Linked DNA regions of Oryzias latipes. The protein of the gene in region 1 purifies or fractionates together with the protein of each later gene. This does not show direct contact. Links are inferred from orthologs where the notes say so. Each region holds a gene or a part of one and is shown on either strand. Other genes may lie near its edges. The genes, in order: fgfr1 and ribosomal protein S6 kinase alpha-3.

Region 1 (16,585 bases):
ATCAACCAGCAAAACCTCATAATTTCAGGGTTTGTTTGGCTGCTCAGATCAAAATTTCTCTTTGAACTCTCTTCCTTTCCGCTCTAGTAATTTATGTTTGGTTTTCACTCGTCTTTTCTCTTTGACGAGTAGCAGAAATGACATGTATCGTTTGATGTCATTTCCTGCTGTGAGAGCAGTGGTTTGCTTTAATACTGTCTCTCTGTAGTAGATGTCTCATTCCTGTCTCTCTGGAATGAGCATTACTCCAATTTTCAAGCTGCTTGTTTAACAGCTTGTGGTGCTAACATTCATCTAGGGGGTGTACTGGTGCATTTCAGTTGGTGCTTCTTTGAGGAGTATCTATGCTTCCAGAGCAACTCTTTTTTTTTAATCCAAAGCCCTGCATAGAATAATCAATAGTTGGCAAAAATGTGCACTTGCAGCATATGTGACCATGTACGGTAATTGATGCACATCTTTAGGAAGAATGGGCTGTATATGAATAGATTTAATTTTTTTCCCTAGACCTGTTTGTAAATCAACTATATCTGACTGAAGTGCACACTGCCGACTTTTCAAACCTGTGTATTTTCAAAAATCTTTAACTGAAAGAAGCCCATTACACCCTATCTACTGAGATGAATAAATGTTGCTGTTTTCATTGAGTGGGAGGAAAAAAACATAGTTTAAATCTTATTTCACAGTTGTTGTTTTTTAGCTCAAAAACATAAAAAAATATAGAAATAGACTTGCTTTAAAGTGATAATTATGATGAAGATGTATTTACTACAGTAAAGTCATGCTTTGTGGTTTACCGTGTTTTATTCTACTGCTAAATAAAGTTTGGGTAAAGCAAAAATCTCAGATTTGCATTAAAATAAATGTTCTGGACTGCAGCTGGTGAAAACACAAATACCAGGAAAAAAATCCATTCTGACATTTTAAAGTAAGAGTAAAGTAAACTAAACTTCAGTTTTTGTAGTATTTTGGAACTGATGAAAGAGAATTGGGGGTGGGATTTTAAGAGAACCAAGAATGAGGAACTCGAAATACTCTCAAAGGCCAGATTAAGGACCTTGCCATGTTAAAATATTGTGTGCACAAGCCTGATCACTTTGAAAACTGGAGATTAATTCTTTTAGTTTATTCTTTGCAGTAGAGGATAACATCTTTTGAGAATGTCGGTTGGTTTTGTGTAAAGGTACATTTAATAAATTGCCTGCACATGCTTGATTTTATTTATTTTATTCTGTTGTTAGCTTTTTAATTTATATTAATTGTTTTCTTTTAATTTAAATGAGGACAGTGCATATTCATCAATGTTTTGGCAAGTGGTAAATTGTTTTCCTAAGGCATGTAAAAGAGAAAAACATATAAACATTAAACACTTAGAACAATTCATACAACAGTAAACACAAGTGAAAACATATACCGTAATTTCCGGACTAAAAGCCGCTACTTATTTCCTGCGCTTACAGCCCTGCGGTTTATTCAGTGACGCGGCTAATTTATGGATTTAATTGGCGGCCGCCATGTACGTACTTTCGGACTCAGTGTATGGTTTGAATTCTCTATCCAACTCCAAGCAACAAGTCATTTATTTTTCAACACACCTCTTAGCTGCCAAACAGCATGCACCTCACTTCAGGTCTTAGACACTTCAGTCATGGTTCAACAAAAAGAAACACGCATGCCCGGCCGCATCCCAGAATCCTTTGGTGCCATTAGACCCAACGTGCACGTGATCGCCACTACAATATGACGCAGCTTTCAAGTTAAAAGCAATCGTTAAAAGCAGCGTGAAAAAATCCACCATCACCAACGGGTTTGGAAAAGCCGGTCAGCTGCTGACGGAAAAGCTGCAATCTGCAGCTGGGCTGCACGTAAATATGTGGGAATAACATCAGCCTTTATTTTGTCGGGACACGACTGGAAACACAAATTGACGTGGTCATTTTAACTGTTTCTAAGGACTGAGCGGAATTTTGCTTTGAAAAGCTCACAGCCTCCGTGTGAGCTGGAGACATGTTCTCCCTGCTGCTCGTTCACATAGAGCTGCGGGGCCGATGGCAGTCTGATGGCTCCCACACGTAACAACGCATCCGCCCCTCATCCACAAAACGTACAGTATCAAGTCCGATTGCTCTGCACAGACACGATTCGCTCGGTCCACCGGCGCAATGGGGACAAAGCGCTCCTCCTTGGAGCCGCTCTGGCAAGCGGTGTCGGAGAGGATAGGAAGGGGAGACAAGGAGCGCGCAGGGCGAGCGCGGGGCGCAGAGGCGTCCGCGGAGCAACAGTGTTTGTTGTGGAAGGAAACTTCTGACGCACGCGCCGCGGCGCGCGTATCGCGCTGAGGCGCGCTTTTCAGTCGGCGCTGCTTTAATTTACTGGTGTGTTTTTTAACCAGCCCTGTTACTCCCATAACGCTGCCGCGACACAAGCGGAAGGAGAGCTGTTCTTCCGTTCGCCCCTCCATCCACTGCTGTTCCTTGCTCATTCTTAAACACGTACAACAGTGTGGCGAGGCCGGGCGTTGACCCCGCCTTTAGCCCCTAAGACTCATGGGAAATGGGGGATCGCGGATGTAAATTTCCTCATCATAACTGAGGGATGTAATGTTGATTATATGGTTACTGTTTGTAATTTTATGTATGATACCTAGATTGTCAATAAGGAAAAAAAAATAAAAAAAATTAAAATATAAAAACCATAACTGAGGAACTTGTGAACAGAATAGAGGTGCATGCTGTTTGGCAGGTGTTAGTGTTTTCAAATACATGAGCCTGAGGCAAAGCTGTCTCCTCCCACAGTGTGCTAATGAATTGCGCTCAGTTTGGGAGTCAGGATGTGATTTGTCAGGCTGACCATGTTGCGTACTCTGATGCGGCTTGTGTATGAACAAAAGAAGTTAAACACGTGAAAATGAGTGGGTGCGGCTTGTAATCGGGTGCGCTCTGTAGTCCGGAAATTACGGGTAGTTTATACAGAATACTACAGCACAAAGTAGACATGAGCAGAAAAACAAAACAAAAAAAACCTCCATAGTTTAATGGACCGCAGGGATGGTTTTGAGTCCGAGTACAAGTCTAGTTTGTTTTAACCAATGTTTCAAGCTGTTTTGAACCTTGCATAGTTTTCACTCTTTCTGATGGGAACTGGACGTATATTCCAAAATTTGGTGCCTCTGACGGACACCAAATTCGCCAAATTTGGTCCTGCATCTTTGCTCTTCCCAGTCTCCGCAGGTTAAAGGTCTGGTGTGAATCCCTAGATTATTTTTCTTATGAATAGAATTCCTTAAAGGTGGCAGAGCAAGCCCTTAAAAATTAGACCCTAGAAAACAACAGATAATTAAAAAAAAAACGCACATTATATTTATTGAGAATGAAGCAATAGTGATACTGTAAATCTGCACATCAAGTGTTTTTCAACCCATTTTTAAAGATGGATTAAAGTGGCTTTAAAATAGTTGCATTTCTTTGGGACCAAGTAGAGAGACGATAGGTTAAATGACTAAAAACCATTGACTGCAAATATAATATGATACCTTTAGTAGTCAAATAAGATTGAAGAAATTAACTTGTGGCAGTATCAGTGGATGCTTCCTAAAACCAAACTGCATTGGGTGGAAAGGCGTTGACCCGTTGTTTAGATGTGAAATAAGATATGTTGTTACCCATTTTTCAACTACTTTTGAAATACTTGGTAAGATACTTGTTGATTTTTTTAATTTTTTGGTTTTGTTCTGTCGCCCGCTTTATGTATTGGTGTAACTCCAGCAGTTTTCCATGTTTTTGGAACTATATTGTGTCTAAGGGATGAGTTAATTTAATCTGAAATTGGACTTGCAGGGAATCTTAATGGGTTTTAAGAAAATGCGTAGAGAAAAAATGTATTTATGAGGTTTTAAAGGAAGTTGTTATTTTTAACACATTAAATATTTATAGTTCCGGTGTCATCAATGGGGCAGTTTGAGATTTGGGGGCTTTTTGATTGCATTGTCAATTATTCTATCAATTGTAGAAAAAAAATATTAAATATATTTACAATTGTCTCTAATTTATGAATCTGTCATTAATCCTAAAATTAACATTGCGTGTTACTTTTTTTCATGTCCTATAACTTTGAAAAGGCATCCAAAAAAAACTAATTTAAGTGTCACATTGATTAATAAAATACTTAATATTTAAATTTAATATTTAAACTTCTGTGCTTTAGAGCACACCCACTTGAAGAAATGGGTTTGGAAAGACATTATTTTTGACATGTTCATGTCACAAGCCTGATTGAGGATATAAAAAATAATAAAAATAGCTTATATGCTTTCTTTAAAAAAGCTTTAAACATTTCCTAATGTATCTCGAAAACCATGTCTGTTTGGGATTTTTAAGGTATTTCTCATATAATGGGGCAAATTCTGAAAGTTTTGCTTTACTCTGAACCTAAATCTTAGCTTGGATTAATAAAACAAGAAAAAGAAACATGGATAGTCGTAAAATTTTGAGTATACGTTTTTTTGGACTAAAGTCCCAAATGTTTATAGTTGTTCAAACCATCGTCTCCATCCTGATTGAAAAAATTTTTCTAAAACTGACCCAACACTTTTTAGGAGGTTTAGGCTTCAAGTATGCTTTGTGTTTTTGCATGTGAGAGTCTATGATGTTAATTAATCTATCCTAGCTGACTCCGCCCTTGTCCTGTCCCTCCTGTAGCTGTCACTCAATACCCCCCCACCAGTCATACCTACCTGGAAGTAGGCATTTACTGTGCTGGCTTCTTTTTCATCGCTGTCATGGTTGCCATTGCCGTCATCATCAAAATTCGCTCCACATCGAAGAAGAGTGACTTCAACAGTCAGCTGGCAGTTCACAAGCTGGCTAAAAGCATCCCTCTGCGCAGACAGGTAACAGAAAGTAGATAGGGGGTTTGGAAAACTCTTTTCCCCTCTTGTTGTTTATTCAGATTTTTTGAAACTCATAGCTTTTAGTATTTTTGCTTTGTTTGCACATTTCCAATTCTGCTTTTGTGGACGTTTGTAAATAAAAGCATTCAGAACTTGCAGGTGTATTGTAGTTGCTGATGCTCATGTGTAGCAAGTAAGTATTTAAGCTGCTCTGAAACTCCCAAACTGCAGTGCTTTAACACGACCTCTGTTCCAGTATGAGAAGATTAATGTAACTGTTTCTTACATCAGGTGTCAGTGGACTCGAGCTCCTCCAACCATTCTGGAGTAATGCTGGTTCGTCCCTCCCGCCTCTCCTCCAGTGCCTCTCCTATGCTGTCAGGAGTGTCTGAATACGAACTGCCCCAGGATCCACGCTGGGAGGTCCCAAGGGACAAGTATGTTTTTCAGAAAAAACCTTGAGAGTATACCTGAACAGCAGAGGTCTCCTGGGACTGCATTTTTCCCACCTGTAATCTCAATTAAAAATAAAGGAGTTGCGTAGAGACTGAGAAAAATCTAACACAAGCTTTAGATTACAAATAAATCTGTTTTGTTTTGAACTAAAATGTATTTTTTAAGATGAACACATCCATAATTCTCTCCTCACAGACTCGTTCTTGGAAAGCCACTGGGTGAAGGATGCTTTGGTCAGGTGATGATGGGGGAGGTGCTGGGTCTGGACAAAGAAAAGCCAAACCGCGTGACGAATGTTGCAGTGAAAATGTTAAAGTGTAAGTTACTTTCTTCAAATGAAGAACAAGAAAGTTGGACTTGTAGAAAAATTTCTTTCATTGTCCCAAAATGGGTTAGGCTTTAGAGTTAATGGCAGCAAAACGTCAACCTGGGATGCACAGATTTTAGAAAAAACTTTTTTTTTGTTGGATTCCAGCCATCATTTTAACAAGAGAACTGAGTCCAACATCTCATGAAAAGGTTCTAAATCTTTCTTAGAACACATGCGACATGCCTATTGATTCATATTTGTGAATCTTTAATCTATGTTTACAACACCCTAGGCAGCATTCATTCAAGCACCCACTTCCAATGAAAATTCTATTTAAATGCGTTTTTCTGGCTTCCGTGTTCAAAACCCTCACGTTCATGCGTAGCTACGTTAGTTTTTACAACCGTAAAAACCGTAAACTTCGACATATGGGGCGGACAAGGCAGGAATCAAACTTGCAATCTTCCAACCGACCACCCTACCATTGCACCATGGCCGCCCCATGTCACCAAGTCTTATTGGAGTAGAGCTGTGGAAGAAAAAGCTGGACCAAGATTCAAGAGAATCACCGCTTGACATTGCACACCAAGCCTGTTCCAACTGTAGGTTGGAAGAGGCTTGGGATGCGCTAGTAAACAGTAAAAAAAACAAAAAAAAAACTCCATGCTTGTCCAGTGTTAACACCATGGGTTCTTGAACATGCGGCAAATGCACGGTGTGTACATAGCTTTGTAACTGACTGGATGTAGATCAATCAGCCTGTAGTGACTTATTGTCTTCTCTTACAGCTGACGCCACAGAAAAAGACCTTTCAGACCTGATTTCTGAGATGGAGATGATGAAGATCATTGGGAAACACAAGAACATCATCAACCTGCTGGGAGCCTGCACACAGGATGGTAAGACCAGATGGAGGAGGTCCTGCTTCTGACCTTTTCTGCTCTGATTAGACCATCATGTGCAGATCTGTCCCTGAGACAGGAATGTGAAAATGACCTAAAAAGATGTGCTGGACATCATGAACAAATGATTTCAACTCCAGTCTTGACTCTTGACACTCAAATCAGATGCTCATGCTTTCACTCTGATTAAGAAAACCAATCTTCAATGATCCAACAGAGGGTTTCTTCTGCTGCTTTTCCTTCTGTTAAAAGTTCTTTAAAAGAGCTGCTATTGTTTAGCATGTTGGGTTTGCTTTGCAGAGCTTTGATGGTGTGAACAATGTGAATGCAGCAACGCAGAATTCTTAGACGTGTGTGGAGACGAGACACTCGGGACCACAGTTCAAAAATGGAACAAAAAGAGAGTTTATTGCGTTGAGTGATGTTGGCGTCTTTGCTCTGTCAGTTTGTTGGAGCCAGGAGCCTTTGTCAAAAAAACAGAAATACCTCAGGAGTTCATGACACTAAAACACCAGGCTCTGTGAAACCCTCTACAAAACACACAACTAGTAAAATAATAAACACACATGCAATTTAAAACAAAGCAGCTCTGGCAACAAAATAAAATCCGTCCTGGGTTAACTAATAGCAAGATAAAAAAAACAGAGGGGTACTTGGCTCAAAGAGGGGCAGGTCACAACCACACCCCTCTGTGTTCCAATGTCGCTGTCCCCTCTGACCGCTGTCTGGCTCCTGACTCAGCTGCTCCTCTGGTGCCGGCCAGGGCTCGTCTATCCTGACTTCCAAGGCGCCCCTCTCTGATCTGTCCCGGCGGCGCTTTACCCAACGATGAGTGTTCCTCTAATGTCAGTCCAGCGCTTGCTTGTCCTGGAGCACTCCTCCGACCAGTCGCTCCTAGCATTTGGTTGTCTGGTGGCTTTTCCTCCAACTGCTCATCTTCCACTGCTCAGTATAGCTCTTCTCGGGCAACGGCTTGTGAAATAAGAACACGGTTCACCCTGTTACATGAAGTTCAGATACCTCTGTTGAAGAACCGAGTCTGTACAGTGCTGGTCCACCGATATTAATTGCAACCCTTTCGTACACATGCACACTGTCAGAGGGAGATGGTCACGTTGTTCCTTGTCTACCGCCCTCCAAAATGGTTAGGCTGGCTGGCGGCTGCTGCCAGGGCGTCCGTGGGGTTCCTGCGCCCCTAACCTTGCAGCACTTTTTCCGCGAGGCGAGTGAGTCCACAATATCTGAGTTGGGTGGACCATATCCCAGAGAAGATGGGTAAAGCTCCTTTTCTGGGCACACCGGGGCAACGCAATTTTTCCATCACTGCTCACAGCAACTGGAGCCTGATCCTGGCCCTATCTGGAGCCTTTGCTGGCCAACGGTGTCCACCTTCCTCGTTGGGCGGGCAGTTTTTGCCACTTCCCCCAGTTTGTCCACGGTGGGGCTGGCAGGCAAGCTGCTTGGGTGTGCAGTGCAGGCTGGGTATTGGTGGTCATGGCCTGCCTCTGGGTGCAGGGGCCCCCTCAGGACGTCTGGGCGATGGCATGTCTCTCATCTGGGCATCGGCATAGGTCTTGTGTGGTCGGAGGATTGGGTCTAGGTCTGTAGCACCTTGAGGTGGGGCAGGATCTCTACCCTGGCAGGGGCTCTGTGCGCTCTCTTTTCCTCCTACTTCTCTGCCACGGGGCTGCTGAGTACTGTCCTCCTGCTCCTTTTTTGTGGTGGAGTTCTAGTGCGCGTAAGGGTGGTTATGTAAGAACTAAGTCGGACAGTTTACTTATGACACTCTTTGTTATGTCTGTATTATTGACACTCCCCATCTCCCCCATCTTAAACCCCTATGCCCCATCTTTAACAACCCACTCTTCCCTTTTTTTTTTTCCATCCAGCTCAACAAGGAATGCATATCAAAATAATTATTATAAGTAAAGCTTAGCCTCAAATTACAAAAGGGGTTTATACAAATACACACTTTGTGTGTCAGAAGATACAAAAACCCTTATTATAACAGTAAAATCTGTCCAACGCAGGAGGCCGTATGGTTTTATTTGCTTGCTCTGCTGCTAAACAGGACAAGTAAAAAAAAAAAAAAAGTGGTTCAGATCTGGGTCATTGTTTAAGGTTTTCATTTCTTTCATGTTTTTCCAGGTCCTCTATACGTGATAGTGGAATATGCATCCAAGGGAAATTTGAGGGAATACCTGCGTGCTCGCCGCCCCCCTGGTATGGAGTACTGCTACAACCCAGACCAGGTTTCAGTGGAGACCATGTCCATCAAAGACCTGGTGTCTTGTGCTTACCAAGTGGCTCGAGGCATGGAGTACTTGGCCTCTAAAAAGGTAAAAACACCACGACCACTATTTTGCAGCTGTGCAAAGCACTCAAATCAAGTCCATTTAAAATGGGACGTTCGTTCAGACCTTTTTTTCCTCCAGTGCATTCACAGAGATCTTGCTGCTCGCAATGTTTTGGTAACTGAAGACAATGTGATGAAAATAGCTGACTTTGGCCTCGCCAGGGACATCCACCACATTGATTATTACAAGAAAACTACCAATGTGAGTAATTGATCTGATCAATAACATGAATTAAACTAAAAAGGGACTTACAAAAGGAACATGGAAATGTATTTAACAACACGTTTCTTTTTGTTTTTAGGGTCGTTTACCAGTCAAGTGGATGGCGCCTGAGGCACTATTTGATCGAATATACACGCATCAAAGTGATGTGTGAGTATCATGTTCCACTACCCTTTAAAACTGTTATATAACAAGGAAAAATCGATCTCTTCGGCCGCTCATGGTGCTACTCCTCTTCATTATTTGTTCAGATGGTCATTTGGAGTGCTGCTTTGGGAGATCTTCACCCTCGGAGGCTCTCCATACCCGGGTGTGCCAGTAGAGGAGCTGTTCAAGCTGCTGAAGGAAGGTCACCGCATGGACAAGCCTTCAACGTGCACTCATGAACTGTAAGGAGCCTTTGTATTTTCTGAACTCAGAGTTTATAAAACAGAATACTTTATTTATCCCAGAGGGAAGAAGCATTTTTAGCAGAGCTCCGATCACCAAATTTCAACATGCACAAACTAAGAAAAGACAAATGCAGTGTAATACACATTAGCAGTGTGTAAAATGAAATGTATAATGCTGTCAGGTGGTTTTATGAAGTTAGCAGGCTTTCATGAAAGTTATACAATTTTATTATCACAAGAAGGAAAGTCATTCTGTGGCGTTTGATCCTTGTTGAGAAACCTTTTAGTCTAGCTGTCCTTGTGCTCCTGTATTGGTCCAGGAGCTGGTGGAGGGGATGGGTGGAGTTATCCACAATGCTTTGCAGTTTTTAAAGCATTTTTTGCTCCATCACTGCCGTTCAGGAGTCCAACTTCACTCCCGCCACGTCCCCGGCCTTGCAGATTAGTTTATTCAGTCTGTTTGAGTCTGTAACCCTCTGTCTGCTGACCCAGCAAATTACAGAAATCCTTTACCGATCTCTGTTTTTGCCAAATCATAAATTGTCATTTTCATCACTGCTTTTTAGCAGATTTTGCCTGTTGGTTCAGTTTTCAGGATCATTAGTGTGTTAAAAAATGTAAGTAATGTTAAAAACCTAGTCACAAATCTTAGACTTGGTTAACAATATTTAACATTACTGTCTTAAAATGTGCTGCTCTTAATTTTTGAGTTTTGGAAATAACCAAATGATTTTGTTTTTAAAAGTCGAGTTTTTACCTTTCATGAAAAAAATCTTTTTCTGCAGGTACATGATGATGAGGGACTGCTGGCATGCAGTTCCCTCTCAAAGGCCCACCTTCAAACAGCTGGTGGAGGACCTGGATCGTTGTCTAGCTATGACATCCAACCAGGTCAGTCCCCCTCTAGAGTCTGTAAGTGCTGTCTGAAATCAAATGTTTCTGACCCCCCCCCCTGTGTACTTGCAGGAGTATTTAGAGCTCTCTGTTCCTTTGGACCAATATTCTCCCAGCTATCCTGACACCCGGAGCTCCACGTGCTCCTCTGGTGAAGACTCTGTGTTCTCTCACGATGCTGGAGCAGAGGAGCCCTGCCTGCCAAAGTTCCCTCCTCACTCCAATGGGGCAGCAATCAAAAAACGCTGATACCTCATCTTCCTTCAAACATTGACGTTCCCCCTACTCCCTGCCTCATGGGGTTGAATTTCTCCCCACGCTCCTAGAGATGAAGCGAAAGAACACTGGTGCTCTGTGAGAGAGGAACTTTGCGATACTGTGTGGAACTCAAGTCGCAGACTGCAGATGTGGACTATGTTTACGGGGCACTTTGTATTAGCAGGAGTAGATTCACTTTTCTCTATACCTCGATCATTCCAGTGTTTGGTCATGAGAGCTGACCAAATCACGTCCGTTTTTGTAATGTTTGTGTGTATGCATATGATTGTTTTCACCACCTGATGAGATTTGGTCCAATCCCAACACACTCCCAGCAGATGTGCAGCACCATGTTTATGCACATCTTTCTTAGTGTAAATACAGTTTAAAATATATATATAAATATTACTATATATTTCCAATACTCTTATTTTGTATTAACATAATGATTTTTTTGTGTTTTGTACAAGGATGCCATGGTTTCACCCTTTTTCTAATATAATTTTTAGGGGTGGTTGTTACACGAGGGTATTCTGAAGTTGCTGTGGTTGATATGGCCAGTATTTTTTGTCCGTATTGCAGCTGTGACTCTCCAAAATGAATCATATTATCATTAATAATGTATAATGGATTTTATATATATGTATACATATTTTTTCCAACTTTAACAAACCTGAAATTACGGCATAGCATTTCATGCAGGACCAATTTTTGAAAGTGTGGCGCTGTTTGTATGCCCGTGAGTGCAGGCTTCCAGAGAACTGGTGGTATCTTCCCTGATGGTCTCTACTGTAAATACTGCAGGTAATACGAGCTGTAATATGCTTCAGTTAATACCGCCATCTGTGTGACCTTCATAGGACTAAACTTCCACTGTAAATGTTTTGAGGGGAGTAAACGTTTGCTGCCGTGTGACTTCAGATGAAGAGTTGCAGCGCACGTATGTCATTGTAAAAAGGATTACATTCAATAAAATACTGATGATCAAGCAACTTAAGCTTTCTGAATTTGAACTCTATAAATACAAACATTTCCATGCCTGTATTGGAGGTAGGTTTATAGAAATGGCCACTTAAACCTCTTAATACAGTTGCAGGAATCTGATTGGATATGATAATATGCTGCTCACCTCAGAAGAGAAGTTGGCGAGTGCGCCAAGCCTCTACCGGCTGTAAACATGTAATTTATGACCGTATGAACAGCTTGGCAATTGCTGCTACGACACTCGTCCATCAGCTCCACCAACCTTGATGCCAGTCCCCATTCTGGCTTACTGCCACTTGTGGATATATCACCTGGATTGCCGTTTCCACGCAACAGGCGAAAATCAGCTTAAGTCACTCCTGACCCTTTAAATGAGAACCTTCTCTTATCGTCCTGCTGCTTTCAAAGCAGTCACCTGTGTTGCAATAAAAACTTTAGTTTCTAATGGACGACAGATTTATATCAACATCATTTTAAACTGTAAATCAAAATATGTAACGTGGATTTCTTTATCAGTCCCAGTCAGATTGGAGATCTTTAGATGGAGCAGGAATTGGTAATTTTGGGAGAAAATATCATTCACCCTTGGAAACGAGGTGCAATAAAGCATCGTCTGTGTGTTTTGATTGTTCAAGAATAGAAAGGGCATGCGAAGCCACACTTTAAAACCTGCTAATGGTGCACAGGTGCTATTAGTTTGACTTTTATCATTTCTGACAGATGGCACATGAAGAGTTTGACGGAACAAAGTTTATTGTCTGCGCTTTTGAGAGTATAAACCGTTAGCCTGTGCAAAGAGAAAAATGCTCTGTGGCGTTAAGACCACAAATGTTCACAGAATCCATTTCTGAAAGACGAGGAGTGTGCCATCTATGTGTTTTTAAATTCCATAAAGTAATCCAGTGTGCAACTAACAAATTCCTGCTATCACTAGAATTTTTGTTATTTTATCAGTTTAGCTGCAGCTTCAGAAACATTACACTTCAATAAACCTGGTACTCAATGTTTGATTTTTTTTTATAACAATCAAACGTTCTTTTTATTCCAAAAGAAAAGGAACCATAAAATAAGATATTCGTTTACAAGTTTTTGCTTATGATTTGTATGTTGTCAAGTAAAGCGGACAATGCTGTGGTTGGGATTAGATGACCTTTGCTAAGCCAAACTTCGAAAACGAAAACTAAACAGTATTGAAGAGATTGTAAGATGGGGAACTTCCTTGTTTTCAAATGTTTACATTTAAAGCACCAGAGCATCACATGGCTCAGATGTCACTTTTGCTGAAAACATTACAACATTTTCTAATGCTGGTGAAGTTCCTGTAAACATTAACCTGAAACTTTTGGATGATGGGCAAGGGATTGCAGACACTCTGGTGTCTGAGGAAGCCTTATTGCACAAGTCTGTTGTGAATATGCTTGCGTCTGGCAAAGCAAAGACTTTCCAAGAGTTTTCTAAGGGAGTTTTCTTGCCTTACATCATTAATCAGGCTACAGATGTGAATGGGTTGATGTAGTGTGGGACAGATTTCTTGAATGCTGCCTCAATAGGGCAGTAATAAAGAGCGTCTCGAGGCCCAGGTATCCGAAGAAGGGTGCTTCTCAACACTGGCAGACGTGAAAACAAGGTAGAGTTATTCCAGTTTCTTGGCTGAGGAGTTGCTTGTTTGGAGGTGGAAGGTGTTTTGTTTGTTTCAACTTCTGATGTGAATGTTGGATACAACAGGCCAAGTGACATGGCTGCTGCGGGCATTGACCCAAACTGATCATGAAGAAGCTGCATTCAGTGCAAAATCTACCAAGTCCAATAGATGGACTGAAACCAGGAATGGTTTCATCCCAAAGTGGACCACTCTCCCTGAAGCTTCCACAGTATGTCAGTATATAAGAGCTAGTGCACTGTGGTTCCAAGAAGGCTTGTAGAGGCTTGTGCAAATTTGAGCTGCACTTCTTTGTGTTATTGTGGTGGTGCATGCCACCAGGCAGAGGGCTAGCTGGGGTCTTCTCGATCACTTCAATCTATTGATGCATGGATTGCATTGAGGTTATTATGTAATATTTAACATGTCACTTGTGTGCTTTGTGCTTTATAACTTTGTTGAGGATTTTCATTATTGACCTCTAAATGTGATTTGTATTAACATATACCCAAAGTGTTTATATTCAACTTTTGTATCTCTGTAAGCTTGGATATTGTTAAGATTTTGCTATTTGTGACTCTTTTTTAAAAATGTGAAATCTCAAGAACCATTTGTCATACAAATGATCTTGATCTTGGGCTGAAAATGTGCTGTGCAGAAAGAATGTACACGTATGTATTGGTTAACAATTATCGTGCCCCAGAAGGTAGAAGGCTGCCATAATTGGAAGCCATCTTGAATAATGGAAGTACCAAGCAAAATAAAAAGATTAATCTGCATAACTTTTCTAAAAGCCATCCCAGAGGAGGTTTTGTGTGTTTTTCCTTGGAGGCCTGTTAGATGAATTGCTTTGTGTTTTTGTTTACCAGAGATAGTTTGATTTATTTCAGTGAGGGATTATCATATGCAGGTCTGGATAAAAGCACAGTTCTCTCTCAATGAATCTCCACCGTGTCCTGTCAGTTTTGACAGGTGACCTGCCCTTCAACTCTGGAGCACCTATCAGGAATCCTTTCATAGCTCCATGCAGATTGCAGAGACGGTCCTGGGAGGATGACAGCAATGTTGGTGACGGCACTCACTGTGGAGGCGCTGTGACATCAGCATGTGTTTGTGTGTCTCCCAACAAATAAACATGAAATTTATGGGAAGAAAGGAGGAGAAGTTGGAGCAGGGGGTCTTTCAATGCGCACAAAAATGCTGAAAGGTGTTGTCGGCGCACTATTAAACTCATGAATATCCTTCTGGCCAGCGTCCATCTGCAAGGTGAAGGAGACATTCGCCTCTTGTTACTGGTGTGCCAAGTACATAAAAGGAAGCTCAGACAGTTCAAGCATTCATTTTGTGGGAAGCCGCTGCAGACAGGCCAAGATGAAGTGGACCCAGATTGTTGATTTGAGAACAGAGGAGGAATTCTAATTTTCTTTTGTCTGCTCGCTCCAATAGATTCCCCACCCTTTATAACTATAGTTGAGTAATGAAAAGCTGTTTGGGTTTACATTATGTGGTTTTGGTTGTTGTTTGTTGTTTTACTGTAGCACTAAACTTCTAATTCTGTCGAAGATTGGACTATATTGGTTTAGGAATGTTGCGGTCTTAGAGCTAAACCTTTGTTGGCCCCATAAAGAAAAATTGTCAGCAGGAGACAGTTGGAGTTCTGTTTTATCTCTGCTCTTTGGTTATTGATGTCTCCACGGAGGGCCCGGGCTCCTGTTTATGAGAGAACTGCCTGCATGACAGCTCCTTGGTGCCTTCACTGCTCTATGGGACAGGCATGACAGGAGGGGCGAGCCTGGGGCACGCCCTGTCACTCACTCCCTGCCTCCCTTTTCCATTTTCTCTATTTCACCAAGAACAGAAATACGTATGAAAGAAACAAGAAATGTTAACAGCCTGAAGTGATCACAACATGTACAAGCTGTCTTTTAAAGACTTCCAATTAAATTCAAATAATTAGTTCAAATGTAGAAATTTCTAAAAAACAAAACAAAAAAAAAACAAGACAAAGGAATACTTCTGAAAACATGAGCATTTACTGTGAGAATGACACCCAGATAACAAACAAAAAAACTTCTGTCTATATTAATGCTCCCATTAGAAGAAGAACTAACAGAAATGTTGTGTGTGGATTTATACTTTCACACTGTGCTGTTTGGTACACAAGTTTGAAAACGTATGCGAGTTCTGGACTGCCAGACAAAAAGGATCTTAGATTACATGCAAATGAACCCTGGTGTTTTTTACGCATTTACTGGACTAAGTGAGAAAGACGTCACCCTTCCAGAACCAACAAAATAAAGTCAATTCAGTCACCATTTTTTTTAACAATATGTACACCGCCATATTGGAGCCAGATATCAGTTAGCAGTGATTGGTCCAAGTAGGTCTGAGTTAACATTTCTATGACAACCAATCTGGATTGAGTTTATTGGAAAGCCACATCCTTACCACTTGAAAGCGGGCTTGGAAGAATCTGTCAAGCATATGTTTCAAATGTTTAAGACAACATACTTTTATCGAGGCATCTGATTGGCCAGTTGCATGACATTGCATGACAAATAGAATGACTTGGATAATAGCTATTTATTTCTCAATAGAATTCTATGAGATTTTGGCTTCTTGGAGCCAGTGGGCACTTCCTATTTGTGTGTGTACACAAACTATCTAGTGGACAAAAGAAGTAAATTAGGTCAGTGGTGTGAATTTCAAACTGTTAAATAAAAAACATCTGGATCGGCTCAAATGAACCATGTGTGAAACTATCACAAAACGCCTCTGTGTTTCACTGCAAATTCCACACACATTTGAACCCTTTAGCTACCTGCTCAACCAAATGGTAGAATAAACTTTGAAAATCAAATTTTTTAAAATATTGACTGTGAGTGTTAATCACCAAAGTCAATCAGCAAACGGAAAAAAAAGTTTTCATTGATATTTTTCTTGGTTGGGCTGTTAAAGGTTTAAAGACATGCTGGAAGATTTAGTGAAATGAAAAAAACCTTTTTTCATCTATGACTTATGGTGGTTGAAGTGTCATGGTTCAAAGATCTTTTAAAGGGACAATATCATGCTATTCTCAAGCCTTTTATAGTAACCCTTATCCATGTATATAATGATTTATTACCTTTGGCACACAAAATAACACATTTTTTATTAAATATCAGTTATTTTCCTGAGCTTTTTCAAACCCGAAAGTAAGACGACTCGATCTCTAAGGTACTAGAGAAGACCTTGGCTGTGTCTGCATCTCGCCCACAAAAACAAACGACATCCGAACTTTTGC
Region 2 (16,347 bases), on another chromosome or scaffold:
TGTTCCCCGGTGTTTGAAAACCACATCAACATCTTTAAAAACAGCTACTGCGGTTGAGTTTTCACACCAGAGATGAGATTATCACGACTTCAACCAGCAGCACGTCTGCTTTTGACAGTATTGTGATGAAACTTGGTTTTCAGTTCCCCCTCTCTCTGGTGAACAGTTGCATTAACATGCTACTTCATTTTGGTTTCAGGAGCTTTTGGGAGAGCCTGTTTGACTCCTAAATAGATGTAAAGAAACACCCGAGTCCCCCACAGAGTGACGGGTGGAAGGGCAGGAGTGGTGAACATCTGCAGAGACACAGGGCTTCCCCCCCGATGTGTGAGATCTGACATGCAACACGGAGGAAACACGGGACGAGATCAATGATCGGAAACACGGCTAGACTAAAACGGACTAAAGCTCAGATCATGATCCAAACTGAAGTCAGCTGGAGGGAAAAATCAGCAGAAAAAACACAAAACTAGAAGCAGTTACCCGTTAAAATGTAAAAGATTTGATCTGGACTGGAGAAACTAGAACCTTTCTGCTGCACCTGATGACAAATGTCCCCGTAAACACGACGCTAACATGAATCCAACATGGATGCAGTTTATTTCAAGTCCTCATGATAAGACGCCTCCATGGTTCCTGCCATGGTGTGTGGGGGGTTGATGTGGGGTCACGTTTGTGTCTGCAGCTGTCAGTCAGGTTTTCTGCTCGGTCTGGACCAGCAATCAAAAGTGAGGTGTTTGAGGTCCACAGAAAATGTGGGAATCATCTCCGCTGGCTCAACAAACAAACGAGCGGAGCTGCAGGCCTGAGCTTCAGCTGGGTGCAGCTTGTTGGATGTTCGGGTGGAGTTTGGTCGGGGTTGCTGGGAGGGCAGATGCTTGCCTTCCTGTGCAGATGTTGTTGCCAGGGAGACAATGACAGGACATGCTCTAATCTCCCCGCCGAACAGCTGGACGGCCTTCCTGCGTCCCAGAGCAGAGTGCTGCAACGCGCTCCTCAGTGAGTCATTCCCAGAGTGGCCGTGTCAGAAGAGGAGCGCCATGAAGACGCTTTTATTTTACGTGAGGAACCGGCGGTACCAGGTAACACGCACTCGCACACCGACAGCTGCTCTCCGTGAGCAGACACCCAGCTCTGCTTTGGCAACAGGATCACACAGTCGTGTTTTCACAGTCTGAACCTGCACACTCTGACAGCATGCTCCTGTTTTTAGAAATCAGCTGTTATGGGAAATGCAGCAAATGTTTGGAAGTTTGGATTCAGCAGGAGCTTATGCGAGGCGCTAAGTCTCTGATCCTCTTACTGGACGGCAGCAGAACAGAAAAGCTTTCCTAACGAGCACAAAGGAGTCGTGATGGAGGCTGGTTTAGTCGGAAAAACATGCAGAGAGGCTGGAGCTCTGGGAGGACCTGCTGCTCTCTAGATGCTGCCAGCAGAACGAAGATTCAGTCTGACAGACGGCGACTGTGGACTCCAGGCCTCTGACCTTGGAGATGACTTTTGATGGAAAAGGTGGAGAGCGATGGGTGGATGGATGGGTGGATGGATGGATGAATGGGTGGATGGATGGTTGGGTGGGTGGATGGATGGATGAATGGGTGGATGGGTGGGTGGGTAGGTGGGTGTATGGAGGTAGGACTGTGTGGCTTTTCCCGTGACGGATCACAAGGCAGGAAACTGCTGGGAGACGCCCACCACAATGCATTTCTGGGTCACTGTGAGCATTGTTGTTCATTCCTGGTGGTAGGCGGATGCCTGTGTTCGGCAGCGGAGCCGCCACCCGTTGTCTGACTGTGTGTATGAATGTGTGTGTGACTGTGTGTATGAATGTGTGTGACTGTGTGAATGGGTCTAATTTTAGGCCCCGCTGCTCTGAATGTGAACTTTTCAGGAACTTGTAAGCTGGGATGGCGGCTGTGACCTTTGTGACCTTTGTGCAGCATCTCTCAGCTTCATGCGCTCCGTCCTGAGCGCTCCTTGTCCAGGTCAGCAGGACCGTCCCAGGCTGGGCTTCCTGCTCCAGCTTTGAGGCCCCCCCCTTGCAGTGATGTCAGGCCGCAGACCTTTGATGTCCTCTAATGGGGTCCAGGGTGAACGAGAGGGGGGGGATGTGAGAGGAGGAAGATGAGGGAAAGAGTGAGAGGGACAGGAACAGTGGGCCGACTGTCCAAAACATCCCACGGAGATGTGTGTTTTGGACAGATCGCCACAGGAACGGGGTTGGCATGGTGACGGGACGTCCCGTCTCAAAGTTGCTCCCCCCCCTGTCTAACAAATCTCTATTACTTTTGTTCCATATTTGTCTTTTAATTGACAGAAAATCTATTTTAGCAGAAAGTAATCCTTTTTTTATTATCTTAAACGTTTCTCATTTAACCCAACATACAGTGTTTAATAGAATTTAACGGTGTTTGATGCCATTTTAGGCACTTTCACTGCTTATTTTTCTTTTCTCATGTTCTTTTGTGCTTTCCCCCTTTCTGTTGACTCTTTCATGACTCTTATTATAGTTAATTCTAGTTAAACAGGTTTAGTTAAATAAATTTGTGATTGTCTATAGCATTCCTTTGGCTAACTTAGCTTTTAAAGTATTTTTTATCTTTTAGTTGTTTATTAGGGTAAAAAGTATAGATTAGTTATAGAAGCAAGATTCAAGGCTATTAGAAGGGTTCATTTTGTTTTAGATGGTTATATTTTTAGTAGGATTTTTTATTATGTTATAGTCTGACTTAGTTGACAGTTTGCTTTTTATTATTAAATATGACTAGTTAACCAATTAAACCCCGTTAGGGGGAGCACTGTTGTGATCACGTGACTGTTTATCTAATAAACACTCAAGAAAAACTGACCGATCCAACATGCAGAGAAAGTGAGCTGACCTCCTGACCCTGACGAGGCAGCGTTCACCGATTCCTCTGACGACCAGCAGCTGGAACCAGACAAAACACAATTCTGTATTTTTAATCATCTGTGCAGGGATGTCCAGTAACAGGATTCCTAGTTTCCATCAGACTTGTGTCGCGTTTCCTGTTGTCCCGTGGGATGGCAGCACAGGGTTGTGCTGAGGTCGGGTCAAATGGGCTCATTAGTTCATGCAGTGGAAACCCTCTTCATGCAGTGACGGCCGTTACCGCGGCGACCTGCCGCCCATGGAAACTTTACCACCAGGAAGTTTGTCGTCAACGTCAGTCAGCCTCTAAATCTATTATGGGGCTAAAGATTTGTAAATATAAGAATAGGGGGAAAGAAAGTCAGGATTTTTAAGCAAGAACTTGTTTATTTCCCTTTGTGTCTGTCAGAAAAGGGTTAAAGTTTAGCTGTCAATCATTTTTCAGTGGCATCATTCTCTGTCCTTTAGTTTTCATTCATCTAAACATTTAGACATTAAATTAGCATTCATGTTTTTCCTTTAGTATGTCACATTTTTACAAAACTTTGTTGAAATTACAAATCATTTTCTAGTTTTTCCATCTAAATACAGACATTGACTTTTATTTGTTTCCTTGAACTTTTCCATTTGATTTTGAAGCTTTTAATCCTAAATGTATGTCTGTTTGAGTGTTGTTGGTTATTTTAGGCACATCTTTCCGCTCCACGCTCCTCACTTTAGGGAGCGGCTCGGACCAAAACCAAAGGTTTGTTGAAAAGCTGGACTAGAAACGCAGCTCCCCCATTTATTTGTGTTCATATTCCATGAGGCTGAGCTAACGTCCTCAGGGAGGTGGGAGGAGGCTCACTGCGGGGTTCAGGTTTCACCTCAGGGACGTTTAGCGGAGCCATCACCTGAGGACCTGAGGGCTCTGGAGGCTCAGAACCAAATTAGGCCAGCATGCCTTTTCTAGAGTCAATTTGGTGGGAGGAGCAGCTCTGAGGTTTTTTTTTTTTTTACCTGTGCAGGTTTCACCTTTAGGTCCAGGGACAGGAGAGCTTCACATGTCCCCGCCTGTGCTGCTCTCCTCTCCTGAATCCTGTCGGATCACTGAAAGCCGAATGAAAAGCTGAGGTTGTGTCTGCATGCAGAGCTGTGATCCAGGATTTCATCCTGCCAGCTCCTGAATTAATGATGACGTCCTCCCTCCGCTCCTCCTCATCTATTCTTAATGCTCCTCGCTTTCTCTGAACCATGAAGTTTGGATCATATCCGCCTCCCACATCTCCTTCCCTCCTTTTTTTCACAAACGTACACTTTCTTGTTGCATCACTCAGACTGTGCTGCATTTGAAGGAGTCCTTCCTGCCTTTTCTGAAGAGGGAAACAAATCCATGACCTTAGCTCAAAATAATGGGAGTGGATGTCAAGAATGAGACAGATTTATGATGGAAGTGGATCATTTTCAGCCTTGAATCACTTTTCACATGAAGACTGATCAATGATTGATGGCTATACTCCAGTTTTCTTTTACTCTAAAAGAGTGACAGTGCCGGACAAACCTGAACATTGCCGTATGACAACGTTTCTTTACTTCACAATTTACTGCAGGAGTAAGAAAAACAACTTCATTCAGTAGAAAAATGAGGCTCAGCTTCCTTTCTGCCAGCGTTTAAAATCTTCTTGCAGTCTGGAAGATTTAAAATCCTTTGTGTCACATCTGAATGATCCCCTCCTTTCTGCTGCCTGAGGCTGGATTTCCTGTCAGTGCAGCAGGACTTTCTGCAGATTCTGTCCTGCACACAGACTCTGACCGCTGTCCAGAACCCGCCCCCCCCCAAACCAGCCGGACAGTCATAGTTAGGACTTTAGTGCAGAGCTTCAGTGGTTGGACCTAACGTTGAGTTAGGACGCCTGAAGGACACATCTCCGCCTTCTCCTGTTTGGTATCTGAGCCCCGGGGATGGGCGGCGGAAACGCACTTCTTCTGTCCAACCTGACAAATCCTCCTGGTCCCTGTGTGTGCGCATGTGTGTGTATGTGTGTGTACGTGTATGGTGGCCAGCCGGCACGTTAATTTGATTGCGTAACGGGCTTAGAGGGTGCAGATTGTCTGGAATGGAATCCTGTTCACTCAAACCATGGAAACCCCCCCCCCCCCACACACACACACACACACAAACACCCCCCCTCACACACACACAGACGTTAAATCTGAGGCGTTTAGTTGATGCTCTTACCCGCTGTGAGTCAGGAGGCTGGAAGACCCATCAGACATGGCGTGTTGGGAGGACGCACACAGCAGCGGTGTGTCTGCTGGTATCACTGGAGACACAGTTGCATTTATTTCTGTTGTCAGGGTTGATAAAGGGAGCTGGACACGCTCTCATCTCTGTCTCACCTTGTTGGCCACAGTTAAATTCCCCCTTTTTTTTACTCACAAACGCACCAAAAATCTCTCTGAACAATTAGAAAATAGAAGCAGAATGATCCAGAATGAGAAAAGACACAAAGTTCTGTTGCTTTGAGCACAGCAGACAGATTGGTCGGTTTGTGTGTCATTTGTGAGGATGTCAAAGTTGTCCGTGATCATTTGGGGATCAAACCCTTTCAGCTGTGCCGCTGCGTCCTTCAGCCCCGTCCGTCTTAGCTCTGGCGTTGGTGGAAAGCAGAGCGAGGAGGTGACAACAGGTGGAGGTAATCCAAGATGCGTCACACATCCTGTCAACTGCCCCCCCCCCCAGCATTGTGTACATTGTGTAAGCGGGAGCAGTGGGCCGGGACAGCTGGGGGATTGGGTCTGTGCTGGAGGGCGTCCTGCCGCGCCGCAGCGGCGTTCAGTGGGTCGTTTGGTTTGTGCGTCAGCGTTTGTGTACATATGTCTGCGTCAAAGAGGCAGATTTTCTAGAAGATTTCACGACTTTTTGCTCCGGGTGAACACCGTTCCTCTGAAAACGATGCGAGAAAGAGCGTTTTTGTCTTTCATCAGAGCCTTCCATGAAGATGGGAATGGAGCAGAAGAGGCAGCCTACTAGAACACAAACTTCTACGCTGCTGTTGGTCAGCGGCGTGAAAATGTTCACAAAGACAAAGAGCACTAGCATCAACGCTACCTTAAAAACAGCCCTTCAAAGGAGAAACCAAACCTCTGTGGGATGACGTGGTCCCGTCTGTTCACCTCCAGGCTGCTGCATTCTGGGTCAATTTAAGATCCTGGGGTTCTAACAGGAAGTGTTTTACAGGAAGTTCCCACTTCCCTGTAATACAGGAATGACATGGCTTTGAGTGAAACTCACAGCTGGAAAAATTGGAGAAACCAAAGGAAGGAGCATGTGCAGCTTCTCTGCTGAATGAGGTCTTTATGGCCCCACATCTATGGGATGTTCAGGTGCAACATCAGGAGGGGGTTTGGAGACCACCACGGTCACGTCAGAGAAAGACGCTGCGCCACAGCCTTCAGCCGTCCGTCAGTCGATCCCACCGAGGACTGATGGACGGAGTCAAGGGTGATCTGCAGCTCAGAAGAATCTGGAAGGTCCAGCATCAGAAGATCAGATCCTCCGTGTGCAGCGGAGACTCAGTCTGGGTTCTGGATCCTAAACCAGTGAGATCCAACAGATCCCGTCAAGAACCAATAAGTGATTCAATCATCAATCATCTTCTTTCTGAATCTTTAGGACTGAAATGTATTGATTGTTATGTTAATGTTGTTTTTTACTTTAAAAAGGATCTATCTAGTATAAATATCATCAATATGTTTAAACTGATGGTTTACTTTATTTGCACTTGTTTGAAATGGTAGATTTACAGGATTAACCAAAGTTACTCAGACTTCAGAGGAGGCTGGTCTTTCCTGAAGTTCATCTGTGTGGTTTTTGGTTTTCTCATGTTGTTGATGGTTTTATAATTACGATCAGCATCGGCTCTTCAATTCAAACTATTTATTCTTAAATAAATGGGTTTAACTGAACGCATTTGAACATTTTAGCATCTTGACGTCCAGGTTTTTATGAACTTAAAGTAAATCATCCACCAAACGTTTCAACATTTAAAAAGAAGCTGAAAGATTTGAAAAGCTTTTCCTGTTTGTTCATAAAGAGCATCGGTAGTAGAAGCAGGAAGGGGCTGAACGTTAACACGTCTGAGCGGTTGAAGCAGCTGAGGACGTTCAGATTTACGGTGCAGAAGAGGGTTTTCCCGCCTCCAGCTGACGGACAGGGGGGGGGCACGCCAACCAGCCGGCCGGCCGATCGGTGCTTTCCTGAAGCGGTTTTTCTCTCCTGGTGTCCTTGTGGGGATCTCCAGGTTCATCTGGAAAGCAGAAGGTCACAGCTGCATGTTCACGCGTTCAAGAGGGAGGGGGGGGGTCCCACTTCCCATCCCGGTTTGGAATTACCCCCCCTCCCTTCCTTTCCCAGCCTGTTCTCCGGGTATTCCCTCTCTCTGCTCAGACCCCCAGCGCCTCACTTCATGCCACCATGACACACTTTGCGGCCGCGGCGCCGTGCGTGTGCGCCATCGGCGGCCTCATCAGAGGCCTGAGGAGCAGACTCAAGTCGCTGCGGCGGCTGTTGCTCACCCGCCGCCGTCCTCGCCCGACCCGGAGCTTCAGAGGAGAGCCCTTCCACAATCCTGGGCTGGAGAGCTGGAAGCCTGTGGGCTCCTTCCTGAGCCGTCATGCAGCAGACCCCCCCTGTGCGGCTGTGAGTACTCACTGGGACCCCCCCAGCCCCCTGCATGTTTGAGGGTCCCCCCCCCGCCTCTGACAGCTCACAGCGGCAGAGGTTCAGCTGTCAGCCGGGCTGTGGTTCACGCTGCCCTTCAGACAGATGAGCGTGTCGCCGAGGTTTAGTCTGCTCGTGAGTGACAGTCACAGGGCTCGCCGCCGTGCACGTGTGTGATTGGCATCAGGTCACGGCGCGCTTATCCTCTCCTGCACTGGCGTGTGCCGCCGTCAGACCTTTGTTCCACGTAAAGATAACAGTTTGGACGGCTGCAGTCAGACCCGTTCCAAGTCCTCCCGGAGTGTCGGAGGACTCCAGCTCCAGCTTTTTCACGGATCAGCTGTCACTCTCAACAATAATAAGGTCATCGTCTCCGCTTCCCAGCAGCTGTTGTTGCGTAAGATGAAGGTGGAAGCACGAAAACATCCTGAGGCCTCGTGAGTTGGTGATGAACTCAGGTGAACATGTGGTTGAAACCGGATTTTTAGCGTTTCCTGCAGGATGTTTGCTGCATCTGTCACTTCAAACCGATGCGGGTTACTCTCTCCTATGGCTTCATTTTCAGAAACGGTCGTACTTCTTCATGTCCTCTGCATCTGGGGATGGAATAGAATAGAATAGAATGCTTTACTGGCAGCCGTCGTCTTAATGTGCATCTGGAGACACAAAGGTGTGGGGTGTGGTGTGTTTAGGAGCCTGATGGTTCTTGGACAGCAACTGTTTTCACGGCTGTGTGGGATCTATGGTCTATGATGGCAACAGTCTGAATAAGTGATGACCAGGGTGAGATCAGTCGGTCAGGACTTTTCTTGGCTCCCCTGAGGCGGCGTGAGCTGGAGATGTGCTCCAGGGGGGGCAGAGGGCAACCGATGACCTTCTCGGCCGTCCTGGTCACCCTCTGCAGGGCCATCTTGTTGGTGGGACTGTCCCAGGGGCAGAAGATAAATGAGAACAGGTTGGTTTGGGCGTTCTCTCCTGAGAACCAAAGACTGACCGTCTGAGGCACTATTGCCTGAAACGAGCTCCGACCAGGACTGGAGCAGAAAAGCTGCTCGTCCACTCCATGTTGACCCGGCAGACATGCTTCCTGCTCCTTCAGATCCATGCTGTGGGCATGCACACCAGAGTTCACCTGCAAGTCAACAGAGATCCTCATTCTGAAGAGGACCACGGTTCTCCTGTTTGGTCCGGATGAAAGTTATCACCCGACCTTTTTGGCTCCAAAAGGGATTCTTTTATTTTGTTGCTTTCTCTCTGTTTGGACTTTTTATGCATTAAAAAAAAGTTTTAAGTTCACAAGAAGACTTTAAGATGAGATCAAAGCAAAAAAAAAAACTTTCAAATGGAGAGAAGTCAGAATGTTTATGTTGTATTCCTTTTATTTGATGTTAATTATAAAATGCTGAGGAAGGTTTTTTCGTGGAGGTTCTGTGTCCTCCAGCTGTTTTATTAGATGTATGTATTTCCAAAAGCATCCATCATTTCTGTGACATTTTAACGTTTAACTGTAGGACTCTAAATAAACACAGAGTGCAGGAAGTTTTTCCAGCGTGAGCATAAATGTGAAGGCTGAGCGGATGAGTGACGATGCTGAAGGTCAGGAATGATGAAGCTGCTTTAGTCTGGAGTTGTTCTTATCCAAAGTGTGAACATTATCAAAACCATGCTGGACTGCATGTGAAGAAGCTAAACGTCGTCTGAACTGGAATGATACTTGCAGCTGCGAGTTTGTAGGATCTCTGCAGGATTTGAAGGTTTTCGCTTTTACTTTTTAAAGAGTGAGAAAAAAAACCTAAAGACCAGTAAGAAAAAAACTGACAGCTTTCAGAGGAAAACAGCCTGGCACAGGTGAAAGGGTGAGCTCTGCAGCGGTTGTTGTGTAACGTCCTTCTCTGGATCCCTCGTCTCCATAAGCGCTATGAGTTCTGGATGCACAGACTGGCAGAAGTGGTCCTGAAGGCCCCCTCCCTGCAGGCTCGGACCTGAGGGGGGGGAAGCAGGGTTTGTGTCAAGCGTCTGCTGCTCATAACTGCATTACACCGCTCTCTGGGAGGCTCTAACTCGATCTGAGGAGGTTTGCAGGAGCGCTCTAACCCGCTGATGTCCACTTCTGCCCGTCCCAACACGGTGATGAAAACCTGCATCGCTTCATGGGACCAGTTCAGGAGCAGGAAGCATTGAAATGCTTCAAAAACTCACTGAAACCTACTGTGACAGAAGGACAAAGAAGGTGCAGCAAACGGAGGAAAAAGGAAAACATGCACAAATACCCTTTTCTGATAAAGTGACTATAAGACAGAAAATACGTCTGAATTTCCCGCCGACTCCAGAACTACTGAAAATTGAACAAACATGAACATTACACAAAGACTTTTTATGAATCAACTGTGTTCTGATGACAAAACCTGCATAGTTTAGACAAAGAAACACACAGAAATACATGTTTTTTTCTCACAACTATTGTTTCAATGCAATGCATTATGGTCTATATTCGCCAATCTAGTGAGCATCTATGCACACTGGTTTTTCGCAGAGACTTCTGGGAAATTTCCAGGCACTGGATTTTGGAATTGTAGATTCAGACAGCAGTAGAAAATGGTGAGCACTCTGTATAGTGAACTAAGTAGTGAGTAGTGAAGGAATTTAGACCCAACCAGAGGCTCAGTGTACTGAGGGCAACACTCCACCTTCGTTATTAGCCATCAACATGAGGAGACGCTCTGATGTTGATGACTATGACACATCAGTAAATCCAAATACCAAAGGCTGTCACTATGACCCGAGTTCAAACTCAAGTCCTTCAGAATCTCAGCATCAACACCACTTATTCTCCCTGTGTGGAACCACACGTACACTACATGTTGAGCTATTTCTTCCGTAGTCCTTTGAATGAGTGGGAGCAGCAACACAAACTGTTGTGGCGCCAGAACAACATCAACACAGCTCCCTGAATTTAAAGGGAGGAGTTCCCGTTTGGTCTCTAATAATGGCTTTCTCTCCCTGATTTTGATGTCAGTGAGTTAAAAATAAAGCAGCATGTCTACATTTTCACGGCACATTTGGAATTCTTTGAGTGTGGTGAGATCAGATAAGCCGTTCGGAATGAGGAGGAAGAGTTTTAGTTGTTTTTGTTTGGCGGCTCCTGCGTGATTTGGTTTTTAAAAAGGCTTCCCACGTGGAAGCAGGAGGACGCTCTGATTACTGTTGAACTTCCAACAGAGTATTCATCATTTCATACAAATAAAAAACATGCAGCACTAGAGCCGTCCCCCTGTGAGACCTGAACCTCTGACCGGGACCAACAAAGCTAGGACCTGGTCTTTCTCCTGATCACAATACTCTCTGTCCAACCCTTATGTAGTCCATAGACTACAAAAACTCTCTCCTGAGAAAGTAAACAGACTCTGGTTTGAAGAAAAATGGTCTCATCTTTAGTCTTACAAAAACAAACAAGGGTTTTTTCTTAGTTTGAGAAAAAGTGTCTTAATTCCTTCACTACTCATTCGCTTCTTTGTATGGCTAAACCATGAGCCTTAGAAATTTCCCAGAAGTCTCTGCAAACAGCCAGTGAGCATCGATGCCCAGTAGATCGGCAAATATAGACCACAATGCATTCCGTTTGAATAATTTTGTTCAAAAATGGATTCATATCAAGTCTTCATAAAGAGGGGCTGCTTCTTCTTCTTTCTATTAACTCGTGTCCACCAAGTAAATCTGGAGAATCTCGCTCCATTCACAGCTCCATTCATTCCCATAGACCAAAGAGGTGGTGCCGGACACAAACTGCAGTTATTCATTTCTCCTCCATGATCACATTTGAAACGCTTCCGTGAACTGAATGGGAACGGGAACGTCAAAGTTCCACAACTTTCAGCGTGGGCTCAATAGATGCACATTTGATTGGTAAAGCCCAAAAAAAGCCATAAAGAGTTGAGTAAAGACGCACGACTTTTGAGCGCCCAAAACGCGCATTTGCACGTGTTTCCATATCTGTTCATCCGAAGTTTCCCTGGAACGTGCGTTGCAGAGGGGGGAGTGAGCGTAGCTTAACCATTAGACCCAGAGTGCAGATGCCACTGTTTTACTTTTCTCCCAGTAGGTGGAAGTATATCATTTTATCATCGGTTTACATCCACCAACCGATGAAGGGATAGTTTGTGATCCATAGAAAAGAGAAAGTCCTGTGGACTTTACAGTGTTTTCTACGTATTGTAGAGCATCTGTGGCTGACCTTACGCTGTCGTTTTAATCATTTGAAGTGATTGGATCAGTGAGGTGACGGTGTTTATAGTCATCACACAGGTGGGAACCCTGCTTCTGCACCGAGGAGGTGCTGCATGAGAACCAAAGGAGCCGATTCTTATCTAGAACTCTTGTCAAAGCATGTTTTTGGCAACAGCTATAGCAGTGGAATTTAGTGAATGTTGTTCTTCTCCTGTGAAAGTGTGCAGCATGAAACCAAACTAAATGAAGGCATATTTTGGAAGTGAGTCCTCCTGACTCCCTGACTGCCCAGTGTCAAAACTTCAACTTAAAAAGCAGTGAAAGAGGTTCAGCTGTTCTCGGTTCAGTAAAAAAACACTCTTACAGGTTTTTCTGTGTCCACACAGTTGGTACATTTTGTTACAGTCTATCAAATCGTCCTTATTTTGTCATATCTGTTGTTGATGTTGAAGTTTTTCTGAGTCATTTCTCAGGAACCTGTAATCAGCTGAAGAGTCTCTGAGGAGCCAAGTCTTCATGTTGGGGATCAAACCTAGAATTATGCAGTGAATGATGAACCGCTGCAGGTGTTGGTGTTCAGCGTCCTGCTCAGCTGTGCAGTCAGGGAGCTAATTGTCTTGAGCGCGGGAGGCGGATGGATTGAAATAGTCTTCAGAGGAAGAAGCTGGATGCTGTTGAAGAGCCTTCATGAGGAAGATGCGTGCAGGCCGGCGTGGAGCTCTACCTGTTGGCGAGCTTTCCCTCTCAGTCCAGTGAATCAGAGGTGCTGCGAGCGGCCTGTCGCCTCAGCTCCGATCCTCCATCTGTGTTCTGAGTCACAGACGGCATGATCCGATGTGTCAACACTCCCAAACGTTCCGCATTGTCCTGAACACGGCGACAGCAGAGGGGATGACGTGCTGTGCTGACGGGCTGAGGTGTTTGCTTTATTGTGCAGAGACGGTCGTCTTTTTCTGTTTATTAACGCTTGATGGACTGAACTTCACATCTTTATCCAGACCCAGCATCCGTTTATCTGGAAGCTTCACTGAACAGCTCTTTAGAGGGAACTTTGAGTCTTTAGATGAGTCTCCTCTTCCTCTTCCTCTTCCTGTAAGCTGTCAAGAGGATGTTTGCTAACTTTCCTTCAGCTTGTTGTGTCATTAGGTTGACACATGTGATGAAGTGGTTGACCTCTTTTTGTGCAGCTCTCCTGGTTGGTGTTTGACGGGATTTCACCAGCTCCGTGTGAAAACCACGAGCTGCTGTGGACGACGGCTACTAGAAAGTTCTGTGCTTTTTGAATCAGCGCAGCAAACAGCCGCCTCCCGCCTCCCGCCTGATCAGGCAGGAGGCAGGAGGCGGAGCTGAAGGTGGACGGTGTTTGAAAAAGGTCCTGCAGGCTCTGACCCCAATAATGTCGCAGGCGAGAGATGTTCTGCAGAACCCCCCCCCCCCGACTCCGGTTCCCATGAGCAGCCAGGGAAGAGGGAGGTGCGAGCCAGAAAGGAGAGGTGAGAACAGTTCAAACAAAGATAGAAAAAGCGAGAAAGTAGGAGGTAACGAGGGAGGAGGGAGGAGGACATCTCTCTCTGGGAGAGAGACGTGTTCTGTCAGGGACGAGCAGAAGCCGCTCCTTCTCCCTGCTGTCTGTTCCCGGGAACATGATAACGCCACGCAGCTTTAGACGCCGCCGGGACTACAGGACCCACAATGCACTGGGAGACCTGGCAGAGAACGAGTGCGTGGCCTGGGATCATCAGGTATTTGTGGGAGACGGGTGTGGACTTGTTGACCTTTTGACGTGCTGGGATGGCTGAGGGCAGGAGATGCTGGAGCAGGAGCTGGAGGGGGGGCGCTGCTGCAGGTTGGACGCCGTGTGTGGACTTGGGTCATTCAGCGCAGGGGGCGGGGGGCAGGTGCTGTGGGTGCTTCCAGGACAACCGCATGGCCATCTCTGTGTGAGTGGTAGTTTCCCGCAGAGCGCTGACGAACACTCGGAAAGCTGGCTCAACCTGTTGGTGAGTCACGGAGTAACCGGGCGTCCATCATCCTTTGGACTCAGGGTTTCTGATCCCTTCAAAATAAAGCCCAGTAGTAGACTTCCTGTGACCAAACAGTGCCGGACCGGTTCAGACTGGTGCTGTTTGTGGAGGATGAGCGCACCGAGGCCGCACCCTGTGTTGTCATTCTGTAGCTGCAGTGCATCATGGTCTAATGAGGCTTTGCCATCGATCTCTTGACGTCTCTAATGGCTCACATTTCAGTGCTGCTAATTCCCTTTGTGTGTGGGCGGGTGCTCGCTGCAGCAGCTGACTCTGGGATAACGTGGCGTCCACCTCAGGCTTTAGGCTGTTTTCAGCTCCTCCTGTGTCAGGCAGACGTTCCCTCTCCTGACGGAGGAGCTCCATCCAGGTGATGTGGTGATGGGCTCCGAAGATGCCAGAATGATGAGATGATAGCAGGATTCTTCAGGGACTGGGTCCAGTTTGAATCAGCTGGTACTCCTTTGTTGAACTGCACTGTGACGAGAAAACAAAAGTAAAACAACAGGAAGGACATTTGAGTTGATCTGAAGTCAAAGAAAAGCAGTCATTTCAGAATAAAATGATGAAGTTTTAGTCTGAATCTGACAAGCAAAAAAAAACTTGGAGGTGGTTCGAACAGTTCAGGAAGAGTTAGTTTCAGGGTCATGTTCTGTTTCTTGTTCTTTGCTGACTCTGACTTTAGAGAAAAATCCAGCAGATTAGGAGGTGTGGAAGTCATAGAACAGATAAAAGTGTACTGATGCTTAGGTGTGGGAGGGGGGGGCATGCTCATTAGAAAATGGATGGAGATGCAAAGATGAAGACGTTTCAGAAAAAAACAAAGAAAGTTCTTAATAGTTCATCCAAACCCTCCATCTTTGCCTTTTGAGAGACAGTGGAGCTTCAACACAGCTTTGCTTAACCCTTGTGCTATCCTATGGGGTCCAGATGACCCCCCCTTACATTGACGTGTTCTCCCTACCATGACAAAGGTGGATAAAGGTGGAAAGATTTCATGTAATCCATGGACACCAGTGAAGATCACAAATCATTGAAGAATAAAGGTTCAGAGCACTGTCTAGTGGGTCTAGATGACCCAACTCCCAATGTTAACGTGCCTTTACGGGAGTTGGGTCTTCCAGACCCCACAAGACAGCACAAGGGCTAACAGCATCTGAGGTCTTCACCTCTTAAGAAAGAAAGATTGTGTTTGCTGTAAACAGAAATATTAGCGGCAGGGATCATGTGTGAAGCATTTCATTTTGTCACACTGCTATTGTGTAAAGGTGAGCCACACCTGTGCTCAGGTGGGTGTTTATGTTCTGCTGAGGTGGAGTGTCCAGCCGTCCCCACACCAAGACCCCCGAGGATTCACGCTGTCAACAGTCCACATCACATGACCCCAAAGACCTGCGTTCTGTGCAGGTTCTACGTTTTGTCCAACACAAGAAAAACTCCACAACTGTTTGTGAAAGCGTTTCATCTGAGGCGTTCAGCAGGATTTCCAACAGGAAACCCATCTGTTTCACTTTGAATCTTGATGGATTTCATTCATTCTCCAACCACATTCAGCCTTTTCTGCTCAGTTTCACACCCGCCGTCCTAAATAAGCGTCTGTTTGCTCAGACGTCTGCCAATCCAAAGCTGTAGACGTCTCTGGCAGCCTTCTGATGTTTTTCACATATGTTGGTGTTTTTAACAACCGTCCTAAACTCTGTCACTGAAGGTAGCTTTGACATGGAGCATGTTCAGCACTGTTAGCCCCTGCAGCTGTCTCTCACCTTCACTCACGAAGCTTCAAATTCAGCATTTTGGCTCATTATTACCCAGTTTTTCTACACAATCTTTGATCCGGGAGGAGAAACGGGTTCTCATTTAAAACAAACAAAACATTGTTGAGCTGTGATTCACTTCAAACACACAACCGTGCAAGAGTGTAACTGCTGTTTCATCCGTTTACAACAACCCTATCAGAAACTTGATTGAATGAGTTTAGCAGAAACGTTCTGATCAGTGAAATGTCGTCATTTTGGGGAGTTCTGTCCAGTGAAACAAAGCTGTCAGACTGCTCAACCAGGCGGGAACCGACGCTCATGTTGTGCGTCTGCTTGTGTTGCAGGATGATGCGTCCATCAAAGAGATCAACATCACTCATCATGTGAAGGAGGGGTCGGAAAAGGGGGATCCTCGGCAGTTCGAGCTCCGCAAAGTCCTGGGACAGGGCTCCTTTGGCAAGGTGATGCTCCGTGCACGTGTGGCGTGCGCTGGTGTTGAAGTATCCGTCAGCCGGTGCGGCTGAGAGCGCCTCAACAGTGAGGGGTTCATTTCCTCTCCGCTCCCGGTCATGTTCCCCTCGTGGTGGTGCTTGAGAGACTGTTGCTACGGAGACGGGGGGCGTCTCTGTGAATGAACGGTTGCTCTGCGTCGGTCAGGGTGCCTCTGCTTCTGTTTGTCCACATGAGGTGGATCTGGAAAAGGAGGCCAGCTGAGACAAAACGAGCCTGACCGACACAAGAACACAACAG

Evidence for each region.
Region 2: the proteins of fgfr1 (region 1) and ribosomal protein S6 kinase alpha-3 purify together in Homo sapiens (affinity purification with mass spectrometry; 4 studies listed by BioGRID and IntAct, with this or other methods). This does not show direct contact. The link is inferred for Oryzias latipes from reciprocal best matches to the Homo sapiens genes FGFR1 and RPS6KA3.

What each region holds. Positions count from the first base shown.
Region 1 is NC_019867.2:20,585,120-20,601,704, reverse strand, and holds the end of fgfr1 (fibroblast growth factor receptor 1 precursor), read left to right. Parts: intron 1-4,697; coding exon 4,698-4,894; intron 4,895-5,179; coding exon 5,180-5,325; intron 5,326-5,539; coding exon 5,540-5,661; intron 5,662-6,442; coding exon 6,443-6,553; intron 6,554-8,704; coding exon 8,705-8,895; intron 8,896-8,991; coding exon 8,992-9,114; intron 9,115-9,214; coding exon 9,215-9,285; intron 9,286-9,386; coding exon 9,387-9,524; intron 9,525-10,312; coding exon 10,313-10,418; intron 10,419-10,493; coding exon 10,494-10,670; 3' UTR 10,671-11,671; downstream 11,672-16,585. UniProt on the Homo sapiens protein: Tyrosine-protein kinase that acts as a cell-surface receptor for fibroblast growth factors and plays an essential role in the regulation of embryonic development, cell proliferation, differentiation and migration.
Region 2 is NC_019878.2:2,768,255-2,784,601, reverse strand, and holds the start of ribosomal protein S6 kinase alpha-3, read left to right. Parts: upstream 1-7,331; 5' UTR 7,332-7,346; coding exon 7,347-7,571; intron 7,572-13,433; exon of another isoform or gene 13,434-13,459; coding exon of another isoform or gene 13,460-13,558; intron 13,559-15,941; coding exon 15,942-16,058; intron 16,059-16,347. UniProt on the Homo sapiens protein: Serine/threonine-protein kinase that acts downstream of ERK (MAPK1/ERK2 and MAPK3/ERK1) signaling and mediates mitogenic and stress-induced activation of the transcription factors CREB1, ETV1/ER81 and NR4A1/NUR77, regulates translation through RPS6 and EIF4B phosphorylation, and mediates cellular proliferation, survival, and differentiation by modulating mTOR signaling and repressing pro-apoptotic function of BAD and DAPK1.